3 linked regions of the Lonchura striata genome follow. The protein of the gene in region 1 interacts with the protein of each later gene in a pairwise test. Links are inferred from orthologs where the notes say so. Each region holds a gene or a part of one and is shown on either strand. Other genes may lie near its edges. The genes, in order: CREB3L1, SLC61A1 and FAM3C.

What was found.
Region 2: the proteins of CREB3L1 (region 1) and SLC61A1 interact in binary tests that used the Homo sapiens proteins (3 or more experiments, as listed by UniProt). The two-hybrid records come from large-scale screens. The link is inferred for Lonchura striata from reciprocal best matches to the Homo sapiens genes CREB3L1 and SLC61A1.
Region 3: the proteins of CREB3L1 (region 1) and FAM3C interact in binary tests that used the Homo sapiens proteins (3 or more experiments, as listed by UniProt). The two-hybrid records come from large-scale screens. The link is inferred for Lonchura striata from reciprocal best matches to the Homo sapiens genes CREB3L1 and FAM3C.

The regions. Positions count from the first base shown.
Region 1 is NC_134608.1:38,463,283-38,467,026, forward strand, and holds the start of CREB3L1 (cyclic AMP-responsive element-binding protein 3-like protein 1), read left to right. Parts: upstream 1-1,002; 5' UTR 1,003-1,066; coding exon 1,067-1,174; intron 1,175-3,744.
Region 2 is NC_134629.1:4,626,858-4,630,601, reverse strand, and holds the start of SLC61A1 (molybdate-anion transporter), read right to left. Parts: upstream 2,439-3,744; 5' UTR 2,414-2,438; intron 1,825-2,413; 5' UTR 1,801-1,824; coding exon 484-1,800; 3' UTR 1-483. UniProt on the Homo sapiens protein: Mediates high-affinity intracellular uptake of the rare oligo-element molybdenum.
Region 3 is NC_134607.1:32,701,459-32,705,202, forward strand, and holds the start of FAM3C (protein FAM3C), read left to right. Parts: upstream 1-1,460; 5' UTR 1,461-1,591; intron 1,592-3,744. UniProt on the Homo sapiens protein: May be involved in retinal laminar formation. Promotes epithelial to mesenchymal transition.

The sequences.
Region 1 (3,744 bases):
AAGGAGCACCTTGGGTTGTGCTGTTAGTTCTGACAGCCATGGAGAATGTGGAGCAAGAGCCTGAATGGAGGAAAACCCCATGTCCAGTTCAATCACAGGCTCCAGCCAGTTTCAAATCAGCACTTCTTTGACAGGACCCTCACCACTGGCAACTTCTGGCTAGGTTTCCCCCAGGAGAAATGCACTGCTATCTTTGGGTTTTTTTCTCCAGATGCCTGTGACCAAGAAAACCCCTCCTTGGAGCTGGGACTCCAGTCTGTTCTCTGTGGAGCCATGGAAATAGGGACAAATAAATAAAACATCAGGGCTTCTTAAACGGGCTTATTATAAGTGGTTTTCTTGAGTGTTGGTTGGAGTAATGATCAGAGAGGACAGGGATCCATAATCCTATTTATCTGAAACCATATAATCTTCCTGAAGCTCTTTAATAGTGCCCAGCTCTTTAATTACAGAGCAGCCGCACGTGCGGCTGCAGCCAGGCCTACCTGCAAGCCCTCTGCGGGGAGCGGGGGCAAGGAGACCTCCCTGCCGGCTGCCCTTCGGGCTCCGATCCCGCGGAACGCCCGTCTTTCCCGGCGCTGCTCCCCGAGGGATGCAGAAGGGCCACCAAAGCCGGCCGGCCGGCTGCTGAAAGGAGGGTTTGTTCGGTTCGTCAAACTGCCACGGCTCTGCCGGGGACCAGCAGCGCCCTCGGGTCCCTGCGCAGCGCCGGCAGGAGCACGGGGGCCCCGGGCAGGCACCGGCCTCACCCCGCCCGGCGGTGCGGGGGCTGCCCGGGAGGCGGGGGCCCTGCCTCGAGGGGTGTCTGCGCGGGAAGTCCCGCCCCGGCGGCTCCCGGAGAGCGGCGGGGGCGTGCCGCGGCCGCCCGCCGGCCCCTCGGCAGCGGGGCACTGACAGCCGGCCTGAGCGGCACCGGCGCGGCGCTCCGCTCCGTGCCCGCCCGGCGGTCGCTGCCGCCCCGCCGCCCATGGGCCGCCGCCACCGGGGGGCGGGCGGGAGCGTGCGGCCGCAGTGAGCCCGGCCGGCCGAGCGCGGGGGGCGGCCGAGCCCCGGCGCCGCGGGCACCATGGACAGTATCCTGGAGCCCTTCCCCGCCGAGCGGCTCTTCCCCGCCGCCGGCACCGGCTTCCTCGACTTCGGCGACTTCAGCGAGGCGGACTTTCTCAGCAATGTGGTAAGGGACCGCCGGCAGCACCCCCGCTCCGGCGGGCCGGCCCCGGCAGCGGGGACGGGACGCGGCGGCGGGCTCTCCTCGGTCCCCGCCCTGCCCCGGGGTGCCCCGGAGATGCAGGTAGCCGGGTGCCTGCCGTCGCACACGGCCAGCCCCCCGCTGGACTGGCCCAGCCGCTGTTACCCCGAGGAGACCCCGCCGGGGAATCTCAGGGCTGTTGTACACTATGGTTTTACGAGCCTGATGGCTGGGGAGAAGTGTGCGGTGCCAGGCGGGGAATGTACGACCTGCCGTGTGTGAGCTCGGGCAGCACCGGTGGCACGGCCGGTTGCCGCCGGGAGAGCTTTGGGCTCAGCCCCTCCTCTCTCCTTTGCCTGTAACTTTTCCTCAGAGTGGCATTTGGGAGATGAAGCATCTACCGCTTGGCGCTTTGGCTGGGCTGATTTACTTTGGAGAGAAGGGTGAGGAGGAAGAGTGACTAGGGAGGAAAATGTGTTGCCAGTCTCAGGGAACCAAAGGGGCATTGTTCACCTCTAGGGAAACTGCCCAGTTTCTCCCAGGAGTCAGGCGAGTTCTCAGTCCAGCAACTCTCCCTGTGAACGCGCACAGACTCTTTGCTATAGTGCCCGAGCTCTCCATGGGAGTTTCCATGGGATCCTGCCGCCCCTCTGCCGAGCAGAACCCAGCCCTGAGGCAAAAGTGGGAAGGGCCCCACCCCGGAGGTGGTTTGGAGCGAGGGTATCCAGCGCTGGGCAGCAGAGCACTGCCTGAATGCGAGGCTCCGCCAGCCTCTGAGCAGCTGCAGCCGTGGGACAGTGTGCCTGCCCCGGACAGAGATCCGAGCAATGGCTTGTTACTCTCCTTTCACGGTGCTGGCACCTCCCGTGTTCCCGGTGTAGCACTGTGAGCATCCCTGAGGACTACCCTTGCAGTGGGAGCAGGGAACAGGGAGACGGTGAATCCTCTGATGAATCCACTTCTGCTTTGCTACACAAAAGATATTTGAAGTCTTTTGTGTTGCCTCCTTTGTGAGGGAGACGGTAGAGATGCAGAATTTACATAGATATTAAGTGCACTGCAGCAAGCAGAGCACACGGGGTCTGGGAAAGAGATTATGGAGGCAGCCCTATCCCTCAGAGATCTTGCCAGCTCCTAATTTCCGAGATAGCACTGTGCCTCGAGGACTGATTCCACTGGGCTCTACCAGAGACAACAGAGTCCGCAGTGTTCAGGCACACCTTCCAATGGCACATCACCCCAAGACTGAGCACGTGCCTCACCCGCTCATATCTGAGAGACGTGTTGTTAGGAGTTTTGTGCTTTCCCTAATTCCATACACATCCAGCGTGGATGAAGGTATGCTGATAGGAAGTGCTTTATGTAAAGACCATTTATTCCTTTACCAAAATGAAAATAGTATTGTATTGGCACCAGCCCTTTTACCAGGTGCAACATGGGCTGTGGTCAGAAGTCAGGGAACCCCTAACCAACATAGGGGGTACCTTTTTATAGTTAAACATAACTTCTGCCTGCAAGCAGATCCTGTGAAAAAAGCTTTTGTGTAAGAGTGCCATCTGGTGCCACCTGCCAGGACAGTGTGTTTAAAGTGTGTGGTGGCCGTGGGCAGGCTGGCTCTGTCCTGCCTCATTTAAATGGCTTTTCTGCTTGGAGAGCTGCCTCTGGAAGCAGCTTGCCGTTGTCTTCTCATTTAACTATGTTGCAGTGACTCAGACATCGTTGTGCTCAGATGACAGCAGAAAGGCGCTTTTTTTTAAGGCTTTTTTTTTTCCCCTATGGATTTTTTCCCCAACTGCCAGCGCCACAACTTCTGCTGGAGTTAAGAGTATCAAGCTGAAACCTTCTCGTCCTGCAGAAGATACATATAAGAGATTCTGTAGCCACTTCTCGCCTGCAAAATCTGTTGGTGATACAAGAGCCAGAACATAATACATCACCCTCTTTGTTCTCACTCTGCATGACAATGGGAAGGATGGAAGAAATACACTTGGATTTTCTTACTAAATCCAGCAAATCTCCTGGGATCTTGCAATGTGCGGAGAAGTTCTTTTGACATAGAACTGTGCAAAACATCACCATGCACAATTGCTTTCAAAGTTGCCAGTGTCTTTGCTTCAAAGATGGGCAAACTTTTCCAGATATTGTTCAACAGGCATTTTTCTTAAAACAGGGCAGGAATTTCAGCCATAAAATGTCAGTATGAAATTTTCATGAATATGATTTCCTCTTTTCAGAAAGGAAGTAGAAAGAAAAGATGGATGAACCTTGTTGCAGAGTCTGTGCTCCTTTGGGACAAGAATTGCATGTGTCTACTACTGTCCTTTCCAAAACCTTGGCAATCCTAATGAGTCATCTTGGTCTTTAAAAAATGGTTCTCTGTATTGTTCATCTCAAGCTGTGACAAAGAATTAATTAAGGCACATCTGTAGATGCCTCTTCAGAAAGATCTGTGTGCTTGCAAAAGAAAAAAAAAATTAATGTGTAGGAGCTGCCTTTCAGAGACAGCTTCCCAGGTTGTAGGAATAGGTTGACAGAAACATCATGAAATTCAGCAA
Region 2 (3,744 bases), on another chromosome or scaffold:
CTTGTGATACCTCAGTGTCCTGGTCACACATTGGTGTCTCCATTGAACTGTCCTGCTGTCCCCGTCCCACCCCAGCATCCCCATTCCTATCACACCCCAGTGTCCCCACCAAGCTGTCCTGGTATCCCAGTCACATCCTGATGTCCCCATCAAGCTATCCTGATGTTCCTGTCAGACCCCAGCATCCCCATTACAACCCCATATCCCCATTGAGCTGTCCCAGCGTCCCTATCCCAGCCCAGTGTTCCTGTCACACCTTGCTGACCAAACTGTCCCCATGTTCCCATCACACCTAGGTGTCGCTGCTGAACTGTCCCAGTGTCCCTGTCCCACCCCGGTATCCCCATCGAGCTGTCCCAGTGTCCCTGTCCCATCCCAGTGTTCCTGTCACACCTTAGTGACCCCCTCGAACTGTCCCAGTGTTCCCATCACACCCAGGTGTCGCTGCTGAGCTGTCCCAGTGTCCCTGTCGCGGTGTCCTCCTCACTCCGCAGTGTCCCCCTCGAGCAGCCCCTCGTCCCCCACCCTCAGCCCCTCGTCCCCGCGGCTGGTGCCCAGGACGCCCCCGGCTGCCCCCAGCGCCGCCAGCGCCGCCAGGGCCGCGGCCCCGAACACCCCTCGCGTCCCCGCGGGGTCCCCGGGCAGGGCCGGCAGCGCCAGCGCCACCCCCAGCCCCAGGGGCAGCCGCAGCCACCGCGCCCCTCCCGCCGCGTCCCCCCCGCGCTCCAGCCGGCGCCGCAGGAACGCCATGGCCGGGAAGTACATCCCGCAGGAGAGCTGCAGCAGCAGCACGGCCAGGAAGCCGCCGGGGGGGTGCAGCGGCAGTGCCAGGAGCAGGAGGGCCAGCGCCAGGAGCAGCACGGAGGCGGGCAGGAGCCGCAGCGGCTGCAGCCGGAGCCTCCCGGCGACGCCGCGCCGGAACAGCGCCGAGCCCGCGGCACTGGCGGCCGTGAAGCCCGAGAAGGCGATTCCCAGCGGGATCCCGTGCGGCTCCAGGACGGGTGTCCAAAGGAAGGCAAAGATGAGGAGGATGCTTTCCACGAGAGCCTGCACCAGCCCCAGGAGCAGGGCCCGTGGGTCGGATACGAGGCCTCGAAGGCCTTCCCTGCAGGCCTTCCCACAGGGCCGGCTCTTCCCGTAGTTCTCATCCCAGTTTTTCCCAGCCAAGATCCCCGAGAGAGCCAGGAAGGGCACTGCCACCAGGAATGGGGCCACAGGGCCCAGCGCCAGCCCCTCGGCCACCAGCTCAGCTAGCAGGCCCGCTGCCACGGCCAGCCCGCTGTTCCAGAGGGCCACGCAGGAGAAGGTGTCAGCAATCCACTCGGCTGGGAAGTCGTGGCGCTCCAAGTGCTCGTGGATGTACCAGGACTCAAAGGCAGAGAAGAGCAGGGAGGTGCCGAGCCCCGCCAGCAGCCGGGCGGCTGCCAGTGCCAGGAAATCCTGGGAGAGCTGCAGCAGGCAGGACACGGAGCACAGCCCCGAGGACAGCACGCAGGACTTCTTGCGGCCGAGCCGGTCCACAAAAGACCCGGAGATGAGGCTGAAGGTGACGTTGGAGGCGAAGCCGCAGGAGTAGAGGGCGGCGATCTGGCTGCGCAGGAAGCCGCGGCTGTGCAGCAGCTGGAAGAGCAGCGGGCCCTGCAGCCAGTCCGCAGCCAGTGCCGGCAGGTAGCCCAGCAGGAACTGCCGCTGGAAGCCGCGGAAGGCAGGGTTGGAGGGCGAGGGGCGCCGCGGGGGCGGCTCCAGAGCCAGGCAGGTGAGGAGGAACAGGGCGAGGGCAGAGAAGGGCAGCAGCAACATGGTGGGGAGGGGGCTCAGGAGGGCCTGGGGAAGGGAAAAAGGGGGATCAGCTCTAGGAGGAACTGGGAGAGTCCAGAGGGACCACCCAGGTGCCCCAAATCCCCCAGACAGCCCCTGGGTTCTGTAGGGCCTCCTCACCCCACAGGGACCCCCAGCATCACTGATACACCACACAATCCCCCACAGATCGTCCACAGGCCACACCACCCCTCCCAAGCCCACCCATACCCCACCCAGCCCCCACAGAGCCCACGTAGACCGCAAACCCCCACCAGAGTTCCCCACAGACTCCCATACCCCTCAAAAGGCCCCCTCCACACGATCCAGATCCTCCACGGGCCCCACACAGGATCTCCACAGACTCCTCATAAGACCGTTACAGAACCCTCACACCTCCCCACAGGACCCTCTCACCCCAAATGCTCCTCAAGTCCCCGATGTACCCCCTACAGCTCCACACAGCGCCCCCTCCGCTCCCACAGCTCCCTCTCTACCCCACACAGACCCCCCCCGGCCCCGGAGTCGGCCCACAGGACCACTGAAGACACCTCTCAGACGCTCGAAGGCCCCCCACCCGTTCCGGTAACCCCGGTCCCTCAGAGCTCCCCCGTACCCCCGGTGCGGCCGCAGCTGCCCCGCGGCGCATCCGCGGAGCCACTTCCGCTTCCGGCCCCGCGGGCGCCGCCATGTTTGCCGGTGTCACGTGATACGGGGCACTCTCCCCGCCCCCTCCCAAAGGCGCCCACGGGGACCCCCGGAGGCCGCGGGACGGGTGGGGACACCCCCCTCAGGGACCCGGACAGTGCTCGGGGCATTGCGGAGAACACACCCCAGAGAACCGCCTGCAGACACGCCACGGGAGCTCTGCGGGGACCGCCGCCCTCAGAGAGTTCCTGCGCAGCCCCTCGAGCAAAGCCCCCCCGGTGACACCCCGATGACACCCCGATGACACCCCCCGGTGACACCCCCGGTGACCCCCCGGTGACCCCCCGGTGACACCCCCGGTGACACCCCCGGTGACACTTCCCGGTGACCCACCCGCACCCCCTTTCCCAGGCTCCTGCAAGGGGGCTGCCCTGAGCGCCCCTCTCTCACCTCCGCCTCGGGGGTCCCTGCTGCCGCCGGGGGCCGGGCCGGGCCCCTCACCGGACACTCGGGCGGGGCCGGGGGTGGCACTGGGGGCAGGTCAGTGGGGGGTGGCACTGGGGGCAGCAGGGTGGGGGGTGGCACTGGGGGCAGCAGGGTGGGGGGTGGCACTGGGGGCAGGGCAGTGGGGGGTGGCACTGGGGGCAGGGCAGTGCGGGGCACCAGGTGGGGCGGCAGGAGAGGTGACAGGGCGGGGGGCAGCAGGGCGGGGGGCAGCACGGGGGGCAGCGGAGGGGCGGTAAGCAGAAGGGGCAGGGCGGGGAGCAGAAGGCGGGGGCGCAGCACGGGGGGAGGTGACAGCGCGGGGAGGTTCCCCCGCGCCGGCAGGACCGGGGTCGCGGCCAGCCCAGCCCCATGTCCGAGCTGCCCCTCCCGCGACCCACGCCCCCCCCCCCCCCCCCCCCCCCGGGGATTTACCGGGCAAAGCGGCTGAGCGCGGGGAGCACGTGGCAGCACCCGTGGGTGAGGGACACGGGGACATGAGGACACGGAGGGGTACACGGAGACACCAGGGACGTGAGGAGCACGGGGTGTGAGGGGACACGGGGGACATGGGGAGGACCTGGGGATAGGGGGAATTCAGGGGATACAGTGGGTAGGGGGGGACATGGGAGAGCACGTGGGACACGGCAGGGCACGGGGCGCAAGGGAGACATGGAAGAAATTGGGGACGGGGAACATGAGTTTGGGGGGGATGCAGGGACACGGACATGGGGGGACGCAGGGGACACGGGGGATGCTTGGGACATGGAGGACGTGGGGATGTGTGGGGACATGAGGAACATAACTGAGGGGACA
Region 3 (3,744 bases), on another chromosome or scaffold:
TGAGATACTGGGAGGGCTGGCATGCCCCTTTTTCTTTGGTTCTGCCAGCTGCCACATTTCCAGGGATGTGTGGCTCTACACTCTGTGTGTTGTGGCACCTTTTAGCCAAGTAAATAATCAGTGGGATTCAACTGCAGCCATTCTGAAGTCTAACTTATTTCTTTGACTTTGATACAGATGTATTCTGAGGTATTGGTTATTGTACAGATAATATTATTTCTTCTTTAAATAATTTGATAGTGCTACTTATGTAATCTTTTTAAAATATTTGTTTCAATTGCAAACATTTGCTTATCAAAGCAGTTAGCCTCTGTTAGCATACAGACTTTACAAATCTGTTACTGTAGACAGTGCCACCTAATTAGTAATCAGGAGAACATGGTTAAAATTAATACATTAAGCCCTAACTGTCAAAGTATTATATATCTATATAATCTTTTAGAACTAAAAGCTATAAATACCTTCTTTTTTTGTGTAATGCTCCCACTGGGTACTCCTTTGCTTAGAGATAACAGAATGCCTGAAACTTCATTGTGCTGCAAAAACTTACTAAAGAAATCACTTGACTGATGTTCAAATAACCATCTCATACCAATGACCAATCAGTCTCAAAGCATGCTATTTTAAAACCAATAAAAGAAATATCTATTGTCCAGAAGTTGTTAAAATAAGACATGGAAACTTTCTTTTGTGTACCTGACACTGATGATGTGCGATATGTCCTACATTTTGGCTGTGGTTTTGTTCTCTTCTGAGAGAAGCGCCATGCTGATTTTGTAAAACTGCTCTCTTGCTGTTTTAACAATAGGGGAATTTACAGGGTCTGGAGCTCTGCTTCCCCAGCACTTTCCATACCCACCCCAGCAATAGTCCAGCTGAGTCCAGCTGAGTTAGGCCAGTGGAAATCTTCCACAAAATAAAATGCTGCTCATGCTGCTCTTCCTGCTTGCGTCTCTACCCACTCCAGCTACCCCTAACTCCCTACCTACTCCAGCTCATGACAGGGTTAGAGGAAAATCAGTGCCAAAAAAAAAAAAAAAAAAAAAAAATAGGATAAAGAAGAGACAGGGATTATCTTTTCTTCTTATGCAATAACACAGATTGCCTCAATCCTGCTGATCACAATGCTATTGAAAGAAAAAGATTGGACTTTATTTTAAACCAGAAAATGCCATTTCTGTTCTGCAACAGAAGATAACTTCTGGTGTGTTTGGGTAAAATGAAGAAAAAAAAAAAAAGAAAATGTGTGTAAAATATAAAAGAAAACAAGCAGAAACATCTCGGTGTCCAAGTCGCTCCCGGGATGGGCACCAGGCTGGCCGTGGGGCACGCCTGGCACGCTGCGTTCGGCGCTCCCCCGCGGCTCCCGGCGCAGGGCAGCGCGCAGCGCCCGCGGCCCGCGGCGGGCGGGGCGCGGGGCGGGGCGGCGCGGGCTCGGTCCGCCACCGGCAGGGGGCGGGTGCGCCCTCCGCGCCTTCCTCCGGCTGCGCGGCGCCGGCGGCTCCGCTCGGTTCCTGCTCGGGCCGGGGCAGCCTTCGCGGCACGGCCGCCGAGGGGACGCTGCGCGACGTGTCCGCGCCCCACAGCCCCGGTATGTGCTCGCCTTCTCCGCGGGGCTGCGCGGGGAGCGGCCCCTGCCCGTCTCCCGCCGGGCATCCCGCCGCTGGTTCCGCCGCCCGGGCGCGCATCGCTCCGCTCTGCGCGGGACAGCCGCAGGCTGCCGGCCCCTGCCTCCGCTGCCGGCTTTCCCCGGCGGTGCCCCTTTCCCCATCCCTGGCCCTTCCCCCATCCCCTGCTGCCCCGGGAAGGGTGAGGTGGGCCGGGGCCGCGGGTCCGAGCCGGGCGGGGCGCTGGGCGGGGGCTCAGCCCCGTCCTCCGCCCTTCCACCGTCCCAGCCCGGCGCGGGGGTCGGGGCCGGCGGGAGGCGGCGGTGGGGCAGGGGGCGAGCGGGAGGAGGAAGGGGGGGCAGCGGGTGCGGCGGTCGCGTCCGCAGGACGGCCCGGTCCAGGGAAATGAGAGAAACGCTGGCAGCGTGGCAGCCCCTTCCTGGAAACCAGGCGGTGCTGCTGCTCGGTGGTGGTGTTCCCTTGCCTCTCTCTGTGGAGTGCGGGGCCGCGGGCGCCGTTGGTCCATGAGTTGGAGGGCTCGGCTCTTGTTTAACTAAAATGCATCGTTACAGAGGGCAGCCGTGAGCTCCTAAGGAAGTTAAATGTGCTGCTTGCAGAGAGGTACTTGTCGAAGCAGTCTGTATACCTTTGGTTGCTGGCCTCTGAGTTGCTGAAGTAGGAAAGCATATAGAAATAATATAATTTTTTTCCTCTTTAGTAAATGCTACCATATGTTAAGCCACGTGTTTGGCTGAGCCGCTTAGGAGCTATGTGACTCACCCGATTTGTTTATTTTCCTATTTTCTCACATTTGAAAGAGGTTAAATCACAACGTAGTAACTCCAGACTTGGGTGAAGATCTTTGCATGTACGAGGTATTTTAATGTTGTGCGGGGCTTATTGTGCCGCACCGACTTGGAGCCCGTAGTGGTTCTTTGCTGGTGAACGCAGCTGACTTCACCTCTCTTTTAACGAAGTATTTATTTAATACTAATTGGGGAGTTATTTAGAAAAAGTATCAAAACCACAGACTCACACCAGAAATGGCTACCTAATGACTGTCGTGTTGTTTTATTTTTTTTTTTTTTTTTTTTAACTTTCGAAGCTTCTTAAGGTATGAGTATCTTCATTAGCACATATTTTCCCTCAGGGTTTCTTTTATGCAAAGTTGTTTGTGTGGCAAAACAAGTTTTGTGACTTGCTTTAAGCCTGCAGGTAGGCTCTTCACAAGCTAATAGCTTGCTATTATCATGTAATAACATCGGATCACTGCGGGATGGAGGAAGCACCTGTTGGTTTCAGGCCTTGCTTCCATGGCTTTGCAAAAGTCCTGACCACTTCACCCAGTAGGAGCACGGAGTAGATAGATGATAGATAATAATCGGTGCTGCACCGAACCCAGAGTTCCTGTCCAGCCTCTCTAAGTGCAGCCCGAGTGCTTCAGGGCATATGTGCTCTACATAACCTGGTTTGGGTTAGAAGGAGCCTTAAAGACTATCTATTTCCAGCCCCCTGCTATCGGCAGGGCACTTTCCACTAGACTAGGTTGCTTTAATCCCCATCCGAGCCTGGCCTTGAGTGTTTCCAGAGATGGATTACCTGCTGCCTCTCTGACAAACCTCTATCAGTGTTTAATCACCATCCCAAGAGGCACGCTGCTCTAGTCCCTTGGACACTGGGCCACTGAGTACAACTCTTTAAGTGGCCAACCACATTTAATGAGAGCTATTAGTGCTTATAGAAGGGAGGCATGATGTACACAGAGTTTAAAATTTTAGTGGAACTTTGGAAAATTAATATTTAAAAAGTGAATTCCTGAACGTTATTTCTCAGGATTTTGGGGGAAATACTGACATACAGGAAACAGATCTTTAGTTTTTTCAATAAAATCATAAGATGGATTGATACTGTACAAAAATACCTGTCTACTTGCAGATTATATTGCAGCATGAAGATTAGGTGTCCATAAAATGAATCCACAGCAGACACAGAGAACTTGTTCTTAAATATTTAAATTGATCAAAGAGAATTTGCTATTCAAATAGAACTTATGTTCTGGTTTTTAAACTTGTATTTCCAGTGAACTTGGGGAATTGACATGTGAGTGTAATGGCTGCAGGTCTTTCGAGTTTGGTAA